Linked DNA regions of Oreochromis niloticus. The protein of the gene in region 1 interacts with the protein of each later gene in a biochemical or structural test. Links are inferred from orthologs where the notes say so. Each region holds a gene or a part of one and is shown in the gene's direction. Other genes may lie near its edges. The genes, in order: dapk1 and klhl20.

What was found.
Region 2: the proteins of dapk1 (region 1) and klhl20 are reported together in a solved structure, tested with the Homo sapiens proteins (2 studies listed by BioGRID and IntAct, with this or other methods). The link is inferred for Oreochromis niloticus from reciprocal best matches to the Homo sapiens genes DAPK1 and KLHL20.

What each region holds. Positions count from the first base shown.
Region 1 is NC_031977.2:36,007,853-36,020,811, reverse strand, and holds the start of dapk1 (death-associated protein kinase 1), read left to right. Parts: upstream 1-7,096; 5' UTR 7,097-8,166; intron 8,167-8,226; exon of another isoform or gene 8,227-8,653; intron 8,654-8,784; 5' UTR 8,785-8,907; coding exon 8,908-8,969; intron 8,970-12,959. UniProt on the Homo sapiens protein: Calcium/calmodulin-dependent serine/threonine kinase involved in multiple cellular signaling pathways that trigger cell survival, apoptosis, and autophagy.
Region 2 is NC_031982.2:2,797,739-2,810,789, forward strand, and holds the start of klhl20 (kelch-like protein 20), read left to right. Parts: upstream 1-6,039; 5' UTR 6,040-6,176; intron 6,177-8,828; 5' UTR 8,829-8,869; coding exon 8,870-8,892; intron 8,893-13,051. Other genes in the region: LIM/homeobox protein Lhx8, read left to right, coding at 98-174. UniProt on the Homo sapiens protein: Substrate-specific adapter of a BCR (BTB-CUL3-RBX1) E3 ubiquitin-protein ligase complex involved in interferon response and anterograde Golgi to endosome transport.

The sequences.
Region 1 (12,959 bases):
ATATTGTTTAAACGTGAAAGGTATGTTGTTAGAACAATAAACTGTTTACGTTATAACGTGATATAGCTCTATTTTTCTTTTGCCCCGGTGGCGGCTCTACGCTTGCGTACTCGGATGAGCCTCATCCTACAAGTTGTGCCTCCATCTCTTGTGTCCAGATCACACGCTGCGCTGCCGTGCCGCTCCACCTTTTCTTTCATTTCTGTGTTTGTGCTGCGCAGTGTGAGAGGCGACAGGATTTCAAACTGGTTTGATTATCATGCGACCATACAATTAATGATTGGGAGCTGGTCGTGAGGTGTTAACTGCTTATCGTTACCCCATGTATACTACACGATGCACACACGATTAAGGCAAAACACGGCCGATCCCCAAAACGGTTGCGCGACTGAAAAATCTGCTCAAAATGGGCCAAATCGCACTGTGTATGGGCAGCTTTTGGAGGCTTCCTCCAAACAAACATCTGCAGCTTGGCAGTGTATACAGCACTATAATGACCAGACCTAATTCTTTTGAAAACCTTACATCTTTCCACAGGTCTCCACTTCATCAGACATCACCTAGACACAGAGCTGGATGAGACCAGCACAAACAGCAGCCTAACCGACGAAGATGATGGATCCATGGGGTGAGGAAAGCCAGAAGCAGAGGAACTGGAGAGATACCTTTCACTGTCCAATCACTGGAGGTGTGGATGTATTGCATGGCTTTCCTCAGATCAAGAAGCTGTGGATCAAAGACTTTAGTCACGCAGGACTCCTGTTCACTGCTAAACGGTCGCAGCTTCACAGCAAGAACCTTGAGAGCCTCCATCTCAAGCTGAAGCACCATTTCACTGACTGAAGAAACAATTTATGGTAAAGTGAGCCATACACATATGTACATCCACATAGTGGGAATTTGTATGTGTCTTTTATAATTAGTTTTACTCTGATTTCAGTGTTTATTTGTGAGTGTAGTTTTTACATTTTTACATATTACATTGTGCTAATCCACTGTCTATACTTCAGGGTTTTTTAGTATACAAAATAAGTTTTGTTAGAATGTCTATTCTTGTGGAATTTTAGCACAGATGTTTTTTTTTGTTTTTTTTAATTCCTGCTGTCCGCCTTGGGAATAAACTTTTCCTGATTATACCTGTTGCATCTGTGTCATTTGTTTCTGATTTACTTAATCCCTCCTTCTATTTAAAAAAAAAAAAAAAAAAAAAACACAACACACCCCCAGTATGACATTCTGGCGCATCAGCTGTAGTCTGTTATGTTGAAGCTGCCTCGTTCTAATGTTTTCTCTGAGGCTGCTGTAAATGCGAATATATTCACTGTGGGTTTTGCTTGAAAAAGCTTTACGTTGTGAAAAACTGAAATCTTGAAATTAGAATTGTTGTGCCTTATTTTGTGGATCTTTTTACATATATTCCTTTTGAAAATACTAAAATTTGTATATTTATTTATTTTTGATTGTCTGATAGCATTTATTTATAAAATAAATCAGACATTTCAAACAGTTACTCGCTACTTACTCAGTACTTGAGTAGCCATTTCACCAAGTACTTTTTTACTCTTACTCGAGTAACTTTGACGACTACTTTTTACTTGAGTAATAATATTTTAAAGTAATGATACTCTTACTTGAGTACATTTTTTGGATACTCGACCCACCTCTGATCCCAGGATGAACCTAAATGAGACCCCTTGAGAATAAGTTCCATTAATAGCCAATGCAGGGATGCAGATGTTCCACGTCTTTCTGTTTCCAGCAGCCTCCAGGTTTTTAACACACTAACATAGAAAGGTGACAAACAGTTCACACCATACCTTGAGTGATCAAAAACAAAGTTTTACCAAACCCCAAATTACCAACTTTAGAAAATAAACAGTCTGTAACTTGCCTCCACAAAACATTTTGATCCCCATACAAAAAAAACTGTAAAAACTGTAATCTGAAAGCTGCTTTCCTACTTTCTAAATGAATCAAACCCCGCCCCCCTTCTTCCTTTGGCAAAAACAAAACACTTTGATGAACCCAATGCAGTCTGTCCCAAAAAAAAAGTTTAAAATAATAGTCTGTCATTTCCAGTGTTGGGTAAGTTACTTTAAATTAGTAACTTACTTACATTACTAATTACTTCTATCAAAAGTAACTCAGTTACTTCAAGTTACTCGTTACTTTCAGAGTAACTAGTTATTAGGGAAAGAAACTTTAGTTTTACTCAGAATTCTCTTGTTAATGTGTTGCTTCCGTAACTGGATACCCAGCAAGATTGTCAGTCTTCTAGCTTGCTTACTTGCCACAAGTGCACTGTGCCACCTACCAATAGAAAGGAAAAAATAATGCGCACATTTCCACGTGTTACGACCCGGCTCATAGCCGCAACATAAAAAAAGATGAATACCAGATTGTGGGATGAGAAGAGGCTTTATCTTAAAATGGACAACCAGGTCGGCTAAAAATGACTGGTGCCACTAAGGCAAACACAACAAAAGAGATGGACAAAATGGTGAACTGAGAACTAAACTATACTGGGAAGACTAAACTACTGACCCTGAACAGAGACACAAACCTGAACACGAATAACAGCGAGCAGAAAACAGATGACGGTTGGGCAGCAGGGAAACACACGGATGAGACACGGTGGATACACAGACGGACCAGCCAAAATACAAAGACAGAGGACGCGACTTAAATACACACAGGGAAACACAGGGAGATTACACACAGGTGGGGAACACAGCTGGGAACAATCAACAAGACGAGACAGAGGTAAAACTGAACATACTCACATGAGACGCAGACCTTCACAATAAAACAGGAAACGAGAACAAATCCTTAAACATAACATAAAACAAAACACTGACAACATTAAATCATAACACACGAGAGAAATCCCACGCCTGGACCGTCGTTGACCGCCGCATGATTCTAGCCTGCTTTTTACATCCAACACAAAAACTGCAGTCGTGGTGCTTTTGATTGTACTCAGAACTTGGAAATTCTGCCTTCTGAATAGGAAGATGTAGGTAACACCAGACTGCAGATGAGCTGCATACAGAGCTGGACTGGGACAAAAAAATCGTCCCAGGGAATTTGACTAGAGACCGGCCCACCATTATAGGAAAAATCATAAAGCCTTTGAATGAAAACAAACGCTGTTGTGACAGTGATGTACACTGTTCTGATGGTATATATGTATCAATCTATCAATTGTTTGTTGTAAGACTCAGATAATTATTTATTAAATGCTAGACATTTTAAATGAGAATAAGAAAGAAAAGTATTTCTTTGTCCCCCCCTTTCCCTGTTAATGCCCTACCTGCCCCCCTGGCAACACTTTGCTAGATCCGCCCCTGCACAGTTACCAGCTGTCTGCTACGTAGAAAAGGATCCTGGTGTTATTTGTCTCTCAGAAACAGCTCATAACTTCCCTTCAGCTCATCCATGTCACCTAAAAGGTAGCACCCCAGAAGAGGCACCCACACAGCTGTATAAAAACAAGTACCCAGCACGAAAAAGTCAGCATAATGAAAATAAACTCCACCTAAACTTGGTTTATATCTGACCCAGATAGACTGCAGGTCATAACTTCTTACCTGAAGTTCAGTTCACCTGACACTCGGACCGGCGGCCGCTTCGGGTCTCTCCTCTTGCCTCCCTTTTCCTTCATCACCTGCTGGCCTCCACCACTTGCTAATGTTACTGAATCTGTGGAAGCGCCGCGATATCCACCACACGAAGTAACAAATAACGAGCCTATCTAAATCCCAGTAACGAGTAACGCGTTCCGGATTTTAGCATAATAACTAGTTACCGTGCTCGTTACCACAATAATAACGTAGTTACTGTAACGTGTTACTTAATAACGCGTTAGTCCCAACACTGGAATTCACAATGCATTTTTGGGACTTTCAGGTGTTTGAACCAATGTTTTCTTTTCTGATCAAACCAGAAATCTTTAATGAGCAGCTGGATTTGTCTCACATTAACTGGCTGAGTTAATGCCAGTTAATGCAACATCGAAGTAGCTGGAATCCATAGCTGTGCGTGTTCATGGAGCTGCATTTTCACCTGCTGGACATCACTGCCTGACAAGTTTAACTGTCTTCAGAACATTGCAGAGGCCTTATTGACAGTATTTGGCTCTAATATCTGTGTGAGCAGATTTTCTCTCACATGAGTGTCCTCAGGTAGCCGTCTGAACGCTGGACACTCGGAGACCTGTGTCTCTGAGTGGGAGACCAGTGATCACATTAACATGTGTATCCCTGTATTAACAAACATGCCATATTGGCCCAGTTTATTTTTCTTATCATTGTTGTGAGGAGACCATAAATAGCATTTGTATTTTCTGTTGTACAGTTCATTTGCTGTTATGGATAAAAAGTGTCTTTTTTTTGTTTCAAAATAGCTGATAATAGCTGCCAACATCTGCGAACAAATATAATTGTATAAAGTTGTTCTATATAGTGTGTAACTATTAATATAAAGCGTTAATAAATTTATTGCTAATGCAATCATATGGCACACTGACTTCTGAGGAAATTTTAGATGGCACTCGCCATCAGAAAGGTTGCCTACGCCTGCCCTAGAGTATTTAAAAGTAGAATGGGAGGCAGAGCCTTCAGTTTTCAGGCCCCTCTTCTGTGGAACCAGCTTCCAGTTTGGATTCAGGAGACAGACACTATCTCTACTTTCAAGATTAGGCTTCAAACTTTCCTTTTTGCTAAAGCATATAGTTAGGGCTGGACCAGGTGACCCTGAATCCTCCCTTAGTTATGCTGCAATAGACGTAGGCTGCCAGGGATTCCCATGATGCATTGAGTTTTTCCTTTCCAGTCACCTTTCTCACTCACTATGTGTTAATAGACCTCTCTGCATCGAATCATATCTGTTATTAATCTCTGTCTCTCTTCCACAGCATGTCTTTATCCTGTCTTCCTTCTCTCACCCCAGCCAATCACAGCAGATGGCCCCGCCCCTCCCTGAGCCTGGTTCTGCCGGAGGTTTCTTCCTGTTAAAAGGGAGTTTTTCCTTCCCACTGTCGCCAAAGTGCTTGCTCATAGGGGGCCATTTCTCTGTATATATTATTGTAGGGTCTACCTTACAATATAAAGCACCGTAAGCAACTGTTGTTGTGATTTGGTGCTGTATAAATAAAACTAAATTGAAAGTGAAAGAGTAGCAACTATCCCAAAGGAAAGAATGAAAAAGAAGATCGTCAGACAGATGACTTTGGTATTAATTCAGTGTATTTGATCACTTTGCTCAGTTATCATTGAATGATGTTTACTTGCCACTGTGGTGAAACAACCTCAGAAACAAATTATAACTCAGACATGCGCGTGCATGTGGGCTCCCCCCAGCGCTCAGCTCCCTGGAAAAACACCACAACACCCTCTGAGTGCTTCCTGTCCCACAGCAGTGTCTTCATGTCCTTGGAGGTTCCTGTTGGTGCTGTGGTCCTGGATACAAACCTCCGGATTGGCTGAGGTGTTTCTATGTGCAGTTTGCCAGGTCTGCCTGTGCCAGTCCTTATGTTGTTGGTCTGATGCTCTTACACTGAAGATAACAAACTCATTCACGTACAGTAATGTGATGATAAACTGCAGTCATAGTTTTGTCTTGATTTTAAACAACAATTTTCAGATATTTTTTTCAGTTTTTATTGCTAACATTGAAGTGTAATCTCTGTACTTGGTTTTAGTTCTTATTGGGTGTAGTTTGCCATTGTGGCCACCAGATGGCGCACACTGCTTGTTTAAAGTGAGTGAAAATAAAGCAGTTTTTGCTCCTCACTTAAATACTTTGGACAGAGAGACTTATTCCAGTGTACAAACACTCAGTTTAAACACTTGGTGTATTTTCTATCTTCTGTTATCAGTTAAATCTGAGTTTCGCAAATCATTGAATTTTTTTTTTTTACGCTTGTGTCCTAACTTGTATGAAATCTCTGACAAAGCACTAAAACCTGCTTTGGGTTAAGAGCATAATATTACTATTAAGCTGTCACATCACTGTTATTCTGGTGTTAATAGGGGCTGATGGAAATGTCAGAGGTGGAAAAGCCAAAAGATAAACAAAGTTAGCAGACTTTGTGTTTCCTCTCAGGGTGGTAATCTGTTTAATACTGGCTGATAATCCAATCCAACCATTTGGTGCACCAACGACATCATCTTCTTCAAAACTCTTCATCTGTCCCTCTGGCTGCAAACTGTGACAACAGGAGTCGTTTAATTTTCCTCTTTTCAGCCCAAACGTTCCTCTGCTGCTTTAATCATCTCACAGTTTATTTGGTTGAGATGCTTGACTAAAAATAAATAAATAATATTTTTAAATATTAGCTTTTTAAATCTATATATTCGAAGATCAGCTGCTGAGAAAAGACCTGCAGCTGTGATCAGCTGTAAACATTGGCTTTGGTTGAAAATGCAAAATATGAATCAGGCATGAAGACGCCCAGAGAGTGAAAGGTCAGCAGAGACTTTCTGCTTTAATCTATAAAGTTTGTTTCCTTGTTAATCATCCAGAGTGTAAACTGCCTTTTTACCATCTGGGCATAAGGGATTAGTGAGTTATTCATTTATTCTTATACATCACGTCTTTAAGAGAAGTTTTTTACTGAAAAACACCAAAATCAGGCTCATACTACAGTGTTTAGAACTTTCTTCACAGACTGACAGTTAAATATCATCTTTTTAATCTCATATTGCATTTTACTTTAGATACTGGTCATATGTTTATTCTTCTCTCTCTTAAATAAACATAAATACATGCAAAAGCTACAGTTTTACATGTTTTAGTTCCAAAACACAAAAACCAGCTTGTTGGTTTCAAGTGGAGCTGCAGTTAAACCAACAGTTCTTTCTTCAGTCTGCATTCACAAACCCCAGAAGGTATTTAAAAAGCACAAGGAGCAGTATTTATATTTGAATATGCAGTGTATTGTCTGTCCAGACATCTGAGACCACATAGAAAATCATTCAAATTTAATAAAACATTAAAGTCATCAGACAGTGTTAGAAACATTCAAACCTTGTAAGATGGACATGAAGTTCTTCTGATTCTGAGAATCTCAGCAGTCACGTCTCTGCCTCAGCTGCACCCAGAGGACACTTTGATCCACTCACCAGAGACTTTATCAATCCTCAGTCTTTATTCTCCCAGCAGAAAATTGATTCATCAGAAAGCATTGAACAGGAGCTCAGCATCAGGTCGCGGCTTGAGGTACGAGGCTCTTTTAAAATCTTTCGATGGGGCTGGAAACAAACTTGTGCCGTCCATGCTCCCTGAGTGCTGATGTTTTGGTTTCCACTCTATAAAAATATTCTTATTTACCATAATAACAACAAATATCATGATGTTGAACCAGCTGACAAATGTATCATGTGCTTTTTAGAGAAATGTAGTTCTGCCTCATACAGTTAGCATGCTTTAACTAGATTCCTTTTTATTACTGTATTACAGAGACATGTAAGCATAACTATTCGCTCTTTAATTGTAAAAAGACTTGAGGTGAGGAAAAACAATAAATAACAGCTTTGGCCCTAAAATGTGATACATAACAGCTGACAGATGTAAATTTGTTGCAATACTGACAAAAAGTCTGGATTTTGCTACTTTTACTCTAAACAATTATTAAAACATTAAAGGGAGTAAAATAAACAGATTAACATAAAACGTTTGAATTACATAAAAACGTGTTTTTTGCACAAATTCTCAGCTTCTGTGATTCAAAGTGAAGGTTTGCTGCCCTCCTGCGACTGAAGGAGCTCACACACCTGCGCTGCCTTCAAGACACGTAGAAACTCGGACATCTCAGCTACGTTTTCCTAGCAATTCGGCTGACAAACACCCGCCGATTATAGTGACGTTTAGTAAAATCACTATTTATATTTTTCCTTTGATCTCTTGACCTCATCGTTGTTCTTTTAACGGTAAAACGTGAAATACACACAGAGTGTCCTCCGGTCGCTCCAAGTCTCCGATCTCCATTTCAACCCCAGCCCGTGAACGCAGCACCAGGACCAGCCTGCCTCACATTGTTAACGTTGATTTCTCCCGTTCAAAGCAGCATTTTGTCTTCCGTGAGCCGAACCTGGATCACAGCCTCCCACTAACCGCATGAAATCTCGGCTTCGTCAGGCAGCGGGACACGGACACCGGCACACGGTAAGACCCCCACGGAGTAATCTGTAAACCCTCCGTTTCCCGGTGAGAAATCATTCCAGCTAAGGTTCATATCTCAGACTCCGGAGGAATAAAACGTTACCGGGGCGAGCCGTGCTGTTACTGCGGGGGGAGCTGAGGGGTCTGGTGGTTAAAGTAGTTGTTTTTTTGGGGGGGGGGGCACTTTGTCACGCACGGTTAAACCGGGTCAGACACCTGTGCGGGTCCTGACGGCTCGTTATTCTGACTTTCCTCAGCGGTCATTTTCCTCACCGGGCTGAAAGCAGCAGCAGCGGGAGGTTAGCGTGTTTCCCATGGCTACACCAAGCGTCCACACGGGGGTTATTTGCATTCCTCTCCAGCCTGTGGCGACACACACACGCATGCGTTATTATTATCTTTAAAATTGGCAGCCTGATAACTGAGCCGGGAGTCCGGGAGAAGAGCGGCCAGGTCAGCTCCGGGAGTCGTGACGTCGCCGGAGCTGCAGGTTCACCGCTCCGTCACTTTGGGCTCCTTTTGTTGACTGCACGCCCACCTTTCCCGCAGCTGCACGGTTTCATAATCTAATGCTCTCGTTTCTTCTGCCCTCCTCCTGTTGATCTCCTCTCCGTGTGGAAGCCCGAGCATGAGGAGGATCGGTGGCCGTTACCCTGCCCAGACCGGCGGCTGCTGGTAGGGATGGTGTCGCTGTGAAGAGCCGGTGTGACGAGCCTGTGGTCGGGGAAGAAGTGCCTGGACAACATGACTGTTTTCAACCCGGAAAATGTGGAGGAATTTTATGACATCGGGGACGAGCTGGGGAGGTGAGTCCACACCGAGCTTCTTTCTAATGCGCATCAACTTCCCCTTTCTCTGCCCGGGGCGGGGGGATGCTGGGAAAAGACCTTATTTTATTTAGATAATAAATGTTTCAAAGTTTATTAGCCCATCTGTGCAGAGCTGTGGTCCACGCGTGTCTGAATCCCCCCACTGTGAGTGTGATAAGCTGTGATTAATGCAGTCCATAATGCTTTGTCGTCAGTGATGAAGAGTTGCTGTGTCTTCCTGGGTTTTATTGCAGGAGGAGGCTGATGTAGATCTTTACAGGGAGGTGTCCATCCTGGTTGTCACTCCGTGTGTGATTGGTCAAAGGTGGATGCTGATAATCAGGGTGAAGAAGCTGACTGTGTATGAAACGCTGTGACAGAGCTGGACCTGAGTTTGGTTTGCAGGGATGCTCGAATGTGGCAGATGATTCCAAACATAACGTGTTTGTTGACTGGAGCAAACGGCCGACCTGGCTTTATCTTCCTCATCGAGCGAAAATCTCTCGTACCGTCATCTTTGCTCGAGCTGAGCTGACAAAACCAGTCAGGGAGGGAGTTTGTTTGGGCGGTTAGAGAAGAGCGAGGACGTGCAGCAGCACAGTGTTTATCTGGATGATGTTTTTAAGCCTTCATTGTAACCAAATGAAGGATGGATGGATGGAACAGCTTCACAAATGTTGTTTTTTAAGCACAAGTTAGTTTAAGTGAAAGCAGATTAGTCACATGAAGGCTGTCCTGTTTTCACTGTGACTTTATTGCTGATTCGGTAAAAAAAAAAAAATGTCATTACGTAATAATAAAGGCAGAAATGATACAGCCAAGATGCATTCCAGCTCCCAGATGTGAGTCACAGCTGTGGAAGTGGATCTCTGAGTTTGTGGTTATGAAACGTTGGTAATAATCAGCCAGCTGTTTTCTGCTCCTCGGCCTTTGTAACGTTGCTGATTCTGTGTCGTGTTCACCTTCCTGCTCTCTGAGGAAAGCCTGCGCTTGCTGCAGCTGCTGTAGTAACAGAGACGATCGGGGAGCTGTGTGTAATGGGATTGAGTTTCTGGCCTGAGGTAAAGTAGACGGCTACGTGAGCGTGATAGTCTCGATTGGCTGTTGCTCCAACGCCGGGATCCGCTCTCTGTTGAGGATGGATGGGGAGAATAGAGAGCACGTCGTCCACCATCATTATTGAATCATCCTAAATATTCCAACATCTGGAGTGTTGGGATAGAAAATATTTGCTCAATCAGTCCTGTCATTCATGCATGCTGTTTGTTGGAGAGCTCTCCAGCAGCAAGGACTCAGAAATGAGTGTCTGTGGGAAACTTATTTTGCATGGGCACAAAGAGACATGCACCATGTGTGCAGCCTGAACTAGACTTGTTCTTCTTTCTGCTGCGTCTTTTATGGGTGAGGTTAGTGTTACTTCTCCTCTCATCAGTCACTCAGAATCTGATGTATCTGAGTCCGGTGACGTCCTGCAGCGTCCTCAGGCGTCTCCTTGCTGCCGCGTCACGTTTTAATGATCTTTCCCATAGATGCTGCACACAGGTGGTCTTATGTAACACTCGGGCGCACTGATCAGCAGCACTCCCAAACTGGGCCTGACACCTCTGCATTAGCAGCCCACGTGTGTTGAAACGAGGCAAAAGGAGACATTTTTGTGCAGTTAAGCGTGCTCGCTGTGTCTGAATTGGAACACTTGTACTGTACAAACAGACGAGCTGCACAGGAAGAAGAAATCAGAGGTTTTGGATGAAAATGCAGAAACCACACTGACTGTGCAGTCGTTATATATTTGTGTTGGTACTGGATGAACTTTAGGATAAACCAGAGTCTGTTAATGATGAAAGCTGGTGAGTCTTTCACTGTAAAGCCCAACATGCCTGCAGACTGAGGGACTTTTGATCCGACTGTACTCCAGGCCTGCCGCTGGCTGCACTTGGATCAAGGCCCATTCTGTTTGGCAAAATGGGAAAATGGGAATTCACCCAAGCGGTGATTCTATCCTGTCACTGACACCGACACTGGCTGCTTAAGAGTTTATGCATGGAGGACCTGATGCCCGGTGAAGCCGAGCATCATGCATGAGCATCTATGCGCAGCGAGCGCGCAGGAACAAACCCAAAGCATACACGTTAGCAGCGTGATCTTATATAATGCTGTCTATAAATGTTGCATTATTGCTGAAGCTCTCAGGTCTGTTCAGAATCACTGCCTCATCTTGATTTTTATCACCTCTGTGATCGGTGTGCCATTGCTCGCCCAGTTTTTCCAGCCTTTCAGAACAAAACCTGGAAAACTGGAAATGTTAGACGTGCCTAATAAAGTGTCAGTCAGAGAAACGATTGTGAAACTGCAGGTCAGCCGTTGAAGCTCCGGGCAAAGCATCAAGTCGTTGCTTGCGGAGCCGCACTTTAAAAAGTGTGATGTGTCTGCACAATGTGCATCAAATTCATCCTTTGAGTTTTCCCCAAAAACAAAAGTGCAGCGTGGAGCCCGGCTGGGTTCAGTTTAAAGGCCTCCTGACAGAAGTTGGCCTTTCATTTCAAAATAAAGCACCGACCACATCTGTGCTCAGCTGATCTCTGTAACTGCTTCACAGAAAAGTCTCACTTCACGCCTCAGATCAGTAAGATTGTTGAAGACGTCGTAGTTTGCAGCATCTCAAAGGGTCTGTTGTTTGACGCCTCCTCAGTGTGATGCTCAAGTGTCGGGTGAAGCACCGCTGCGGTGTTTTAATGGTGATGTGTGGGGATGTTAGACTGCAGAGACACAAGCATTCAGGCTCAGAGCTTCTGTCGCTGCAGGGCTTTTTTTACCCCATCAAACCTTTTAGTTTGTCCAGTTAGATCAGCAGAAATAGAAAAAGCTGTAATTGCTTCCATTATCAGTGCCTCTGCAGTGCATTATGGGTTGTGCGTGACAGCCAGCGCGTGTGTTTTCTTAATTAAATGATTAAATAACAGTGTTTATGTGGTGCTCCTCTGCAGAGGCCTCAGTTAGAGGTGCTTTATGACACATAATACAATCAGCTGTCCAGGCAGTGAGTTCCTCGCCTCGTCCATGGACTTCAGCTGCACCTCCTTGGACTGGTCCCCAGTGCAGCGGGACTTTAACCAGTTATCCACCTGCTGCAGGTGCTGGTTAGAAATCTCCAAACTAGAAGGCTCCAACTGCAGGGCGACACTCGCTGGAGAGGCAGCTGAATGAAATGCAGCTCTGACCTACGCAGGGAGAAAGCTGGAGATGATGCATGACTCCAGACGGGACGTAAGACAGATGGGAAATCACCGTCAGTGGCAGACGACGCTGGCCGGCTGATATCTGATCTCTGAGTTGATGCCAGTACTGCTCTAGAATAACAGTAAACCTCTGTGTAGGTCTAAGCAGAGCATGCGGTCATGCTGCATGCAGCAAGCCTGCATGAAGAGACGGGCACAGCTTGCACTCCGGTCATGTGAGTCGAGTTCTGCTTTCTTATTTTTTTTGTATTCGTTTATTTCTTTTGCGGCGGGAGATTCAGGGCTGTCACGTGTTTAGAGATACGCTGACTCAGCCTTTCTTTCCTGATTGAGAGAGAAAAATGACACGAGCCCACTCCCACTGTGGAATCCATTTGCTGTGTGCTTTTCATCAGGTCCACGTGGCAGTTTTACACTTTGCATATTTTTGCAGGGCTGCTGTAGCTCCATCGTTAGTCTGCATTAATCTGACCGCTGTGTGGCTCTCTACCAGTTAGCCCTCCTATTTTGTGTGTGTGTGTGTGTGTGTGTGTGTGTGTGTGTGTGTGCGTGTTCGTAGAGGAGGAGGGGAGGCTGTAGCTCTAAAAAGATTCTGCAATGCAAATGAAGGTAAAAGCATTAAGCTGAGGCTGCGTTTGGGCTTCATCGGGAAAACTCCCCGAAGACGAATCGCTGTGAATACAAAACAGGATGATTTGAAGAATCCAGCCAGGATCCTGTGTCCTGGATTCAAAGCGATATCATTTCAAAA
Region 2 (13,051 bases), on another chromosome or scaffold:
TTGTTGTTAAAATCAAAGTCTGAGATCTTGTTAGAAATCATGCTTATTTACTGACATCTGTGATCATTGAATAACTTTGAGTTTGTTACTTCCACAGTCCAAACTCCAGACCCACTTCTGCTGCAGCCACACATGTCCCATTCACTGACACAACTGCCAGTCAGTCATGCCTGAGCTTCAGCGTGCTGCCTGAAAAATAAAGCCACTGATTGCTTCATGGTTGGATGATGAGCAAATAATAGAGAGTGAGAGGAGTTGGTTTAAAATGAATTCGTAAGGACTGGATGGGTTAAATTCATAAACTGTCCAGCATATGAAGAGCACTGAATTTACACTGCTGCCTAATGTAAGCAGACACTTCATCAGCTCAAGTTACTGCATTAATTTCATGAAATGAAATGGATGAGAATTTATGTGAAAACTGATGTTTGTAAGATGAAACTTTTGTTAATGTGTTAAATTTAATTTATTTGAAGGATTTGATGAGATAAGGCACTTTGTTTGAAAATGATGTAAAATTGCTTGTTTGCTTTTTTTTTTGAGTGACGTTTTTGTTAAGGTTGCAACTGGGAATGGGATTTAAAATGCATTTTTTCCTGTCTTATGACTACTAGAAAAGTCAGGATTGAGTTACACTACTAACAGTCATTTTTTTTTTGTTGCAAAGATAAACATGTAGAATACATGTTTTGTATATTAAAAAAGCTAATGTAAACAAAACGTCAGTATTCTCCAGCTGACACTGAAAGTGTTATTGACTAAAATTAAATGAACACTTGTTGCTCAGTAGTGATATTCTTTTAAAAAGTAATACAATAAATGTGTTTAATGAATGAATGCTAGATTCTAATAGAAACTCTGTATGAAGTACACACTGAGTGAGTGGACTTGGACATTGGAGCTGACATACAGTACTCAGGTTTAGGTTACTTTATTTGAACTTGTATTCTTGGTCTGCAGCAGACAAGTCATCCATCCTCACATGCACATATCCAAAACCACAAATATGTAGAAAGCCATTAAAAGTCTACACTGCACTCTTGTAGGATATAGAAACTATGATTTGCTAATTTGAGTGATGGCTGTTGGAACAAAGTTGTTTTTATACTGCGGTGTTTTTTGGGACTATGAGCTTTCGTAAAGAAGAACGAATATGAAACTATATAAAGGGTGTGTGTTGTAAAGTATCAGCCAATATAACCAGCTAACTGCTGTAACTGATATACCAGGAATGTTCAACAACCCCTTAATGGACTTCATATATACATAATATATATATATATATATATATATATATATATATATAGCTTTTGCCATGTTTCAATGTTTCACTGAAATTAGGACTCACTGCACCATTTAACAAAATCAATGTCATGACTAAACTTTCTGCCTTTTAAAGGTTTTTTTGTGTCTGATCAAAATCCACCCATTATTTTGAAGCATTGTGTAAATTTAAATTGATTTCAGTGGTCATCAGGACATTTTAAATACAGGTATAGAATCACTAGTCAGGGGCAGATAGAGAAATCAAATTGGGTGGCAAAATCAAAGTCATGTTTTTACACATGCTGTAATATGCATTATATATGGTTAAAATACACCAAATACAATGAGTACACACATGTTTCATTTAACCCTTTCATGCATAGTGGTCACTACAGTGGACAGCTATTCAAAGGCTGTTTTCATGTATTTGTGTCAGTGTTGATGGTATACTTGCACATAAACTACTACATTCGACACTGATGTGTCACTCCATACACATCAGTTGTCCACCTAAGTGGACATGTAAAAAACTCTTTGAAAACTACATGTTTAAAAAAATGGAGTTCAAAAATCTTTTTTTCATGCCTAAAGATGAGTAAAAATACTTAAGAAAAAAATGCTGATTGAGGTTGTCATAATTCATGCATGAAAGGGTTAAATATAGTCTATCACTTAATTTTTTTTTTTAGCCCAGATAATTAAACATTTAAGTTACATAAAACATGTGAATTTTGATTTTATGTACTGTATAGCCTGTATCATAAATATGGAGCCCAACAAGTATAAAATCCAGGAAGCTACACAACATGTGGTGGTTCATTTGGTTCAAACCCAAGTCTAACTTTAGTTTCACACTTTTTCAAAAGTTTAGAAATAATTAAATTGTTGCTTAAATTAATACAAAATGCCAGAAATCTGCACTGTCATGAAACATTTTTCACCAAAATTTAAACCTAATTTTCCATGATTTATTGGGTTAAGCCTCCAGGGTATAACTGGCCATTTTTTCCACTACTTTTCATTTCACCTTTACATGTTTTTTTGTTTTTGTTTTTTTGCCTTGCCTTGTTTGCCTTGTTTGGAATCATTCTTTTCAGCACAATCTCACATGTCTGAATTAAAATTATTTTTTCATTGACATGCTGCATTAATTGATCTGAAATCACACAAAAACAAAAACAGAGTAGGGAAAAAGTTAAAGATTTTACTGTAAAAACCACAAACCTGTTCAGATAATTATTTTCACAACCTGAAATGCAAATATCAATTATAAATTTTAAAAACCTATGGACAAATTTTGTAATCAATAAAGTTATATACATCTAGTTACCTAAAAATGCATGCAAAAATGCAAAATAAAATTAGATAGCAATAAAAACAAGATGCCACACAAATTATTTGTGCCAGTGCAAAATAGTTGTTGTTTTTTTGCCACAGCACAGAGGAGAACACCACAGGCCTAAACCCTGCAGGCCTGACAGCAGGAAGTGAACCACTCCTCCTGTTTTCTACAGACAGCATTTACACTGCAATCAAACTTTGGTGGCTCTTTAGCAGCTACTGTGACATTCAGTACTGCCTTCATTGTTATGACACACAAAACAAAACAAATGGCTACAATACACACCGACTGCACGAGACAACACAACACACTAACTACACACTCCAAACACGCTAAACGTCACAAATCTCTCACATCTCAAAAACGTTGTCGACATTGCTCTCTCTTTCTCTCTCGCACAGCCGGCATTCTGAAAACTTTCTCCTCTTCCTAAATAATCAAATCCCGCGCATTGTCAAATCATTTTTTATTGGTCAACATGGTACACTTTTACACCAATAGGAAAGGGGTGGTATTTTTTTCTTATTATTTGGGCTGTCCTTAGAAAACACAGTTTTTACTGTTTCATCTGACACTAAACGTGTCGATATTATTCAGAAATAAACATGTTGTATATTTTTATGAATATAACTCTGGTTTTAGTGGCCTATCAATAAAATTAAAAAAACTGGTGTATAGTTTGAAGTCCAAACTTTCAACACAAGTTGAAATGGAGATTCAAGATGGCTGCAGCTTGTTGCTATGGAATCTTAAATTGATCGTGCGATTTGGAGATGAGGCATGTCCATCGACATTAGGGGTGGCAAGAGATTATTTTAGAGTGGCACATACCACCCAGTGCCACCTCTGTAGAGCCGCCCCTGTCACTAGTCAAATCAGATAAAACAAACAGCTTTTAAGATTTCTGATTTTATCTCAAAATAAGTTTTTAAAAAGCCTTTCTTCCCTAGAATTTATATTTCTAGATGTGAAAATGGAAGAACCTCCCAACTGAAGAGCCTTTGTTCATCTGTCTAAAGACTTGGATAAAGAGGGAAAATATTCAGTCCCCATTAATATCCATTTTTTGATGCATGTATCTAAATTAAAATTGTTTCAAATTGTTTTGTAGCCACCATCGTAGATAATTATTGTTTATACAAGCAACAGGTTTAACTATAACCCTAATGATGAATACATAATTCTTGTAATTCTAAAACGTACACAGACACACAGACACAGACACACACACGTAGGGAGAAAAAGCTAAGGTAAGCCAAATTACACAAGAACTAGACTAAAATTGGTGACAACAAGACTCAGATTCACCTGCAACTTTCTAATATTGAACAGTGTCAAAAAAGGGTACTCCTCAGTGGCATCAAATCCACCTTAACAAATGTAACATAATGGAGTGATCTTTTGATCTCTATGTGAAATACACCACTTTTCATTTAATCATTAATTCCTAAAAGGTTGATTTTGTTCATCTGGACGTAGCGTTTTCAATGGGAAAAACCTTCTGTCACTCATCCAAGTGACTTCTTCAGTCTCAGCTGACTGCAGGTTTCCCCAACCATATAAACAGTACATTTGCACAATAACTGAAACCAGTCCACTAATCATTAATTATTATTAGTTTCTGGCTCTCTTCCACAGTCTGTCTTTTGATTGATTGATTGTACTTTATTCATCCTGAGGGAAATTGGTTTAAGGCTGCCAGCCGTGCCAGCGCCGTCTTACCCTCCGACCATACATACATTACACAAACATCACATGGGGAAGACAGGTCAGAGGGGTATAACATGGAAAAGCACAACATGAGGAAAGATAAGGAGAAAAAAATAACTCTCCCCAGACTGAGCTCCAACAGGGAGATCAGTTTGAGAACAGAAAAGAAACACCTCTGCACATAGCACATGAAAAAACTCATAATACACCAAAGAAACACATGACAAGCAACAGGGGTGGGTAAAGGGTGAGAGACAGCCAATGTAGACAGTACATCCGGGCCTGCAGCCTATGCGCTGGTCTCCATGATCCACCGTCAGCATCGGAAGGGAATAAGCGTCGAAGGCATTTGGAGGGGGAGGGGGATGAGTGTATATCTGCATGTGTATATGTCTGTGTGTGTGTGTGTGTGTGTGTGTATGTGTCCAGAGTCCTATCTCCCTGCTCTCACCCCCAGCAGATGGCTCCCCCTCCCTAAGGCTGGGTCATGCAGAGGTGTCTTCCTGTTGGTAAATGGAGATAGAGTGGTTCTTATATAGCGCTCTACCACCTGAGCTACAGCCATCCCAATTAAAAGGGAGTTTTTCCTTTCCACTGTTTGATAATAGGAGGTTGTGCTATTTTGGGAGTCTTATTTTTATTATTGTAGGGTCTTTGCCTAATGATGTAAAGTGCCTTGAGGTGACTGTTGTTGTTGGAGCCAAATGAATAAAAATATATTCAGTATTCAATATTGAATTGAATTGAATTGCTCCTGCATCTCAACACACCCATTCACAGTCTCAGGTATTCTTCTCTCAAGCTCACTGTTCCTCTGCCTGTTTGTCTACCATGGGGTCTAGTAGTTCTCCTCCTCACCTCTGGAATTCCCTCCTACTAGACATCTGTAACTCTGACTCTCTCACCACTTTCAAATCCTGTTTCAGCTTCAACTCTTTATTGCTTACTTCTTACTGTCTTCCAGCTGTCATAGCCTATGTTTCTGTGTTGTAAACTTATTTTAATGACTTTGCTGATATATGGGGGTTTATCTGTTTTTGTCTTTTGTGTAAGGTGACCTTGAGTGTTTTGAAAGGTAGCTAAAATTTAAAAAAAAAAAAAAGATCAAATCATCATCAGTATGTACAGAGAAGGTCAGGAGAGGAGCAGCAGTGATTGTTTACAGGCATCTGTAAATCACGGTGGAGACTCTATTTCAGTCAATCATGTTGGGGATCTTGTCAAAACTGATGGAATATTTAATTCAGAAAGTACCTTCAGATTTTGATTCACCAAGTGGAACGCTTCTGATTGGCAGTGAATTCAATTTTCAGCATACCAATGACCTCAAACACACTACCAGTGCAATAAAAGTATGTCCAGATAGAAAAACACAACGGAACAGTATCACCTCAAACTTATTGAAGCACTAAGGGATTATCCTGACAGAGCACAGAACAAAAGGCAGTCAGCATCCAAAGAAGAGCTTTGGAACTATTCTTGAAGACTACTTAAAGAAATTACAATAACGCAGAATTCTAACTTTAATCTCAGAATTCTGACTTTTTTCTCAGAATTCTGACTTTAGAAGAAAAAAAAAAGACGTGCCCACTTTTTTTTTTTTTTTCCAGTGGCCCTAATCCTCTTCCGTACTTTTGCACAGTATTTCAGGTACATTTTTATTTTATTTTAAATTTATCTTTACGTGCGATGACATAATCCCCTACTTTTATTTTGAAAGCAAATTATCAGGAAGTGGCGCTTGACATGCGCATATTACCGAGGAAGAAAAGCTGCGGAGTTAAACAACCGACGGCTTAAAACTGTAAACATTAAGAGCCTGGCTGACTAATGTCTGTGGTTGGGATGGAACTCTAAGGTAAAACCCATTTCGTACACTCTTGCTTTTTTCCTACGTAGTTGTCATTGCTTATAGTATCAGCATATACCGCTCACTGCTGATTTAATTAATGTTAGCACTACAGTTTATAATATTCAATCCGTGGCTTGTGGGCTGATGCTAAAACAGCATCTCTGACGACCAGAGATACTCTAAACGCTTTGGATTATTCTTGAATGTCGTTTATAGTTTAAATTTGTTGTCTCTGCTATTATTAAGTTGTTTTAACGTTTGTATTGTGAAGGGAATTCCTATCTCAGTGCTAGCTGTAGCACTAGCTTTCCCACATATCCTCGGGAAGTTAAGTAGCGTTAAGAAGCTAGTCCCTATTTTCAGTTTTTTGGAACGCATTTAGCCTCGGAAGACGTCAGTTCTCCTTTTATCTCCTCTTTGGCTAAGTCACATACTAACACAACTCTTACCACAGCACTGGAAATTATTAATCGCCAACTAGTCTGGTAACTGCTAAGGCAGCTATCAGCCAACAATTAGCGTGTCTTAGCTAAGCTACATGGCGAAGAGCTAGAAATAAATAACTTACAGAGAGCTGCCTTGTGTTAACGTAGACCGATGGAGTGATATCGGGGATATTTTTGAAATAAAGCTGACGTTAAAATGAGCCTTCTAAGCCCGCTACTGTCTGGATGAACCCACACAGCGCTTTCCATTTTGGGGTCTTGTTTTCTGACTTCTCTCTGAATAGGTGAATCTAATGTATATTTCTGATTAGGTTAATTTAATCTAGTGCAGCAGCAGCTGGCTGAAACACTTGACACCTCAGTGTAACCATATGACAAAAATGAGAAGGAAAAAAAGAATGTGTGTGTGTGTGTGTGAAGGAGGGACTCCAGGTTTTGAATGAGTGGCATCAGCTGGAAGCAAGGCCATGGTGCTGCACACAAGAAATTAACTTATTTGATATTAAAATATATTAAACTCCTTATTTTTAACTTTACAAGATAAAGAACATGGAAAACACACATGTTATGTGGGACTAATACACTCCAAAGTGCCAGTATTGATCATAATACTGTCAAACTTGGTTAAAGACTAAATCTATTTGTTTAAACACACACAGAATGGAGAAACCTGCATATATATCATGTAGAGCCCAAATGGTACTATATTTTAAAGACTGCTGTTATATATTTACTTAAAAATCCAATATTGCAAATGGCTAATTCAGGCTTTACACCCAGCCACCACCAGCTTTGGATCAAGGCACTGGGGAGTTTTTTTTGTTTTGTTTGTTTGTTTGTTTGTTTTCTTTGAAGAGGTTTGCTTTTAGACAAAAGGTGCAACTGTTAAACTATGTAATGAATTAGCTTACTTCTTACTTATATATTAAAATCTTGATATTTACCTTCAGCTGTTCAGCTCATTTCTGTCCACTGATCTTCACTAATTACAGTAGGCTTAATCATGTACTGCTGTCTCTTTCCCTCTCACTGCAATGGTAGCAGTGTGTTTGAAGTTTGAAACAGTGAGAGGTACTTGTAGCATTATATTTGGAGATAGATAGCAGTCTGTTAACTCCTCAACAGTTGGTGGAAGCCAGCTTAGCATTCTGTGCCACTCGAGAGACAGAGAGCTGCTGCCAGTGCTGAGATATTTATTTTTATTTACACTATTGATATTTTATTTTTATAATCAAGTGTGTGATTTTTATGAAATGGATAAGCAGAAGAAAATGAATGAATGCTTCATTCGTATAGGGAAATTTAGAATGGTCATTGATAGTTGCCCAGTTAGAACACAATTTTAATAATGTTAAAATCACTGAGGATAAGAATTTGATCATAATTTTGGAGTAAAATATGGTAACTTGGGAATTTTTTGGATAAAACATTGTTTGGCCTAGGTGGTCTGTAAAATATTAAAATCATTCCAGGGTCTTCAGAGTTTTCTGGTAAAGCCAAGATGTTCAAATGAAGTTGTACTACACAGTAAAATGGAATGCATTAAATTAAAAAGAAAAATGACAGCAATCCCCACTAGCCAGGGTTGGTGTAGGTGTGCTTCAGGTAAGAGGAAAAGAGGAATATGATTGCCTATAGAGAGCCATGCTTTAGTGAGTATCAAAAAAGTTATTGGATGTGAAAAAAAAAACATAAATTAAGACTGGCTATAATAAGATGTATAAGTGTTTGATAGGAAATAATTGATGGGATGGAGGAAGGCTATAAGAATTTGTTATAGTGGAGTGAGATGTGAAGGAAGGGGAAAGACATTGTGAGTCACCAGTTCCTGAACATTTACAGAGAGAAGGCTTTACGTGAGTGTACTAATGATGGAGCAGATGTGTTCACTGAACTCGTGTGCACACACATAGTGTCAGCAAAACGCATACAAAGGTAGGTTTTATTGCAGGATCCTAATTTGATAGCAGTAGATTGTTTGGTCTCAGTCTAGCTGACAGAAGTGGTTAATTTGGTAGGTAGGATGGTGGTGTGGCATAAATTACAGTGAAAAATGATTATTCTGCTGTCACAAGAGGTTGTAATTTTCTTTTTCCATCAGCAGGCAGGAATCATAAATCGGATATAAAAAAAAATTACTAGTTTTTATCTTATATTTGTGGGGGTCAGATTAACTGCAGGAAATGCTGATTTGTGTTGTTTTTCTTCACAGGTTAACTTGAAAGTGTAGGACCAAACATTGTTCTTCAGTGCATGGATGCAAAGCCAATGCGCAGGTAGGTGTGGTAGTTTTCTGGGAAGAATGGCAAAAATATGTGGCTGTTAATTCCAGATTCTTTGGTTACTGTTTACCAATTTTCTTTTTAGCAGCAGTATCATATCAAATATTGTAGTCACGAAAATCCTCAAATTCCTTCAGTGGGGGAGTTAAAGATCCTCCATGTCTCTTTGACACCTTGTTATGTCACCACATAAGCTTAAAAGGCAGAAAAATCCCTGCCTTACGGAATCAAAGGGGGGTTTTCAATAGGAGTTCTACCCAGAACTCTCCATAGCACTTGGTGGTCCTGATCTTAGCTCTGCTGGTTTGTTGGGCTTTTAAATTTAGGTTTGATGGCCCACTGGAGAGAGAGGTGGTGTCACGATGCAGAGCAGGAGTCTGTGAAACAAGACTGGCTAAAAATAAACTTTTCACAGTAAGGGGAAACACCAGAGCCACTATGCAAAAACAGTGTTCATGGAGTCTGTTGTGCATATTACAGGTGAAACGGGATGGACATTGTTTTTGTTCTTTTGTTTTTCTCTTTTGGGTGGTCGAAGAATGATCAAAATGAGCATTTTTGTATAATGTAATATAATAGTATATAAGGGCTGAGGTCCCATCCAGATTATAAACATGAGCTTTTTCATGCATGTGCTGCAGCCATGAACTCATGCAGTCCAAGCAGAAACCACACAGAATGTTGGATATGTGACTGAGGTGAACTCTTTCTGTGTTCTGTCTGAGAAAAGAAAATATCCTGACCCGATTTTCCTGAAGTTAAATTGTAAAGGCAGTTTTAGTGTCATTAATGTGAAATGAAACGCTATAATTCTACATTTGTTATATAAAACAACAATAGCAGTGTGTAATTGGGTAGGTAGGACCTAATTTAAGACGTTAACACTAAGACAGAATCTAATTATTGTTTTATGCTTCATAGTTAAAAGTTGCCTGTGTTGTGCAACCAGCAGCTTTAAAGGATACTCGTTAGGTCAATTTTCAGGTCCATAATTGTAATCTTTGGCTACTGGAGTAGCTTTGTATGAGTCATTGTTCAAAATGATGCTTATTTATCTTATACTGCCTTGTTGCGGCCCCTCAGTTCATCTTCTGTCTGAAATGAGCTATTTTAGCCCTCTAAAGACCACCCACATTTATGACACTTTGATCTGATTGGCTGCCACTTACAAACATAAGTTCGGTGGAGTGTCGCCAGAGCCAAAGCTAACCGTGTAGGAATGGCCCCTACTCTGACATCATCCAATTACAGGAGTAGAAAAAAACTGTCTGAATGCCTCTGATTAGAGTCTGGAGCAGTTTAAATTTAAATCAAAATCTCTATAGGTGCAGCATTTATGTCTCTTGTCATTTACCCCACTACTTTGACTCCAGTCTTTAAAACGTTAGACCTACTTAAGCTTTTTAATTTTGTACTTTCACTATGTTAGGGCAATTCAAATGATATAATGAAAGGTCAGAATGTTTTGAGTGAAAGCAGCAGAGGCTCAGGGTATCATGACTTTTTCTCCTCAGTAACATATTCTCAGGCCAACAGTTCCTGTGAATGCTGGCTACATGAAGTTCCTTTTTTAAAAATATCACAGCTGTTTTGTCTTGTCGCTGAGTTGCCCTGGATTACATTGCATTTTATTTTCACATTATTATGTGAAAATATGTCACTGAAAGGATATTTGACTAAGATTTGAAACTGTACATTATGTATTAAATACAATCCACAAAATGTCTTTAACAAAGGTCATGTATGTGCAATGATGTAATTTCTCCCATCTGTAATGGTAAGGACACAAAGTGAAGAGGATGCGTTCAGGTGTTAGGAATTCTTGGCCAGTACTGGGAACATGAGCTGTAGTAAATCCCAAACCCAAAGTCATCCTGGGATTTAAAAAGATGCATGGGTACACCAAGTCAACCGACCGGTGTGGATAAGTTTACACTGGCTGAGGCATATGCAGGGTACTGACCTTGCTATATTAGGTTTAGCTGATGGCCATAGACCGACACTGTATTCAAATTAAATTTTATTTATATAGCATGAAATCACAACAACAGTCGCCTCAAGGCGCTTTATAGTGTAAGGTAAAGAGCCTACAATAACACAGAGAAAACCCCAACAACCAGACAACCCCCTATGAGTGAGCATTTGTCAACATTGGGAAGAGAAAAAAGCCCATATAACAGGAAGAAACCCCCGGCAGAAATGCGACGGCTATGATCGAGCCAGTTTTTACCGGCATTTTAATGATAATCCTGCAAAGAAGCTCAGAGACACACAGACACAGGGGGCAGAGTTTCAGCTGTTTGAAAGCCTGAGTTTGTGCAAATAACTTTGCGGAGAAAAAAAAACAAAAAAAAAAACACTTGACAAAGTCTTGGCTTCCTGTTTTGACCTATTCTCCTCTATTTCATTGCGTATGACACAATAATTGTCTGAGTGGCGGCATCTTTCGTTTAGGAAAATATTGCCTCGGCTTCTTGCACCTCAGTGGCGGGTATAAATAACTGCATCTGTGTGATGACGGTGGGGTGGTGAGCAAAGCCACCCTTGGTGCCTTAAGGCTATTGCAGCATAACTAAAGGAGGATTCAGGGTCACCTAATTCAAGCCTAACTGTAATCTTTATCAAAAAGTAAAGTTCTAATCTTAATCTTAAAAGTAGGTGTCTGTATCCCGAATCCAAACTAGGAGCTAGGCCCACAGAAGAGGGGCCTGAAAGCTGAAGTCTCTGCATCACATTCTACTTTTAAATATCCTAGGAACCACAAGTAAGGCCGCAATTTGAGAGTGAAGTGCCTTTTTTTCGGGGGGGTGTTATGGTAATACGAGGACTTTAAGATAAGATGGGGCCTGATTATTGAAGACCTTGTATGTGAGGGGCAGGCTTTCATATGTATGTATTTATTTATTTATTTATTTATTTAACAAGGAAGCCCATTAAGAGAAGCCAATATAGGAGAAATATGCGCTTTTTTTCCTAGTCCCTGTCCATACTCTTGCTGTAGCCATTTGGCAGTGAAGCTGTAAAATTTAGAGATGGCACGGTACCACTTTTTTATGTCCGATACCGATATCATAAATTTGGATATCTGCCGATACCGATATGAATCCGATATTGTTTGTTTGTTTGTTTTTTGTTGTTGTTGTTGTTGTTGATGTTGTTGTTTTTTTTTTTTTTTATCAATAAAACTGTGTTGTTGTTTTTTTTTTTTTTTTTAAATATCTTGCTGCTTTTTGTATAAGTTGATACTGAAGTTAAAAAACAAAACAAAACACTAAAGCTATTCTGTTATACCTGTATGCAAAAATACACTGCACCCAAAATATTTCATAGTTCAGCAATACTGATCAATCTAATAAACTTAAACCTACTCCATCCTCCCTATTCTGGTATTTTAAAGAGTAAGCAACCTAACTAATAGGGTTCTAAAACTCCCAGCAAAAAAAAAAAAAATAGGGAACCACCCACCCTCCACCTTGTGATGCTTAATCCACGTAATCAACTTTAATTTGATGCAGTGTGGGAAAAAAAAAAAAAAAATGCACAGAAATCAATTATTTTTCAAGGATAATTAAATAGATTCAACATCTTTCTTCAACAGAATTGCAGACTGCACAGATTGTACCTTCCCAAAGGAAAAAATACTATAGCTTACTAGGGTATATTAGACCTAATAGTTACTATATACAGTAATGGACTTCTATACATTTTACATCAGATTAAAACTTTGGGTGTAAGATTCGGATAATTATTTATTAAAAGCTAGACATTTTAAATGAGAATAAGAAAGAAAAGTATGTCTTTGTGCCCCCCTTTTCTCTGTTCATGCCCTATCGGCCCCCCTGGCTATACTTTGCTAGATCCGCCCCTGCACAGTTACCAGCCGTCAGGATCCTGGTGAGAAAGTAATATTAAATACATTCTAACAACAGCTTATCAAGCTTAAACGTGCTGCTGTTGTTCAGCCGCTGGTTTCCTCTTTCTGGCGTGAAGTGGGCAATAAACAAACAAGAGAGACGGACTCGTGACAGAAAAGCCGATCAGCTGATCATTGATCAGTTTCATGATTAAAGTAGCAGCAGGAGAGGGAGGGAGAGAGAAGAGGCAGTCGCTCCATATATCGTTGTTAAGCTTAACGCGGGAATACTTTACAAAC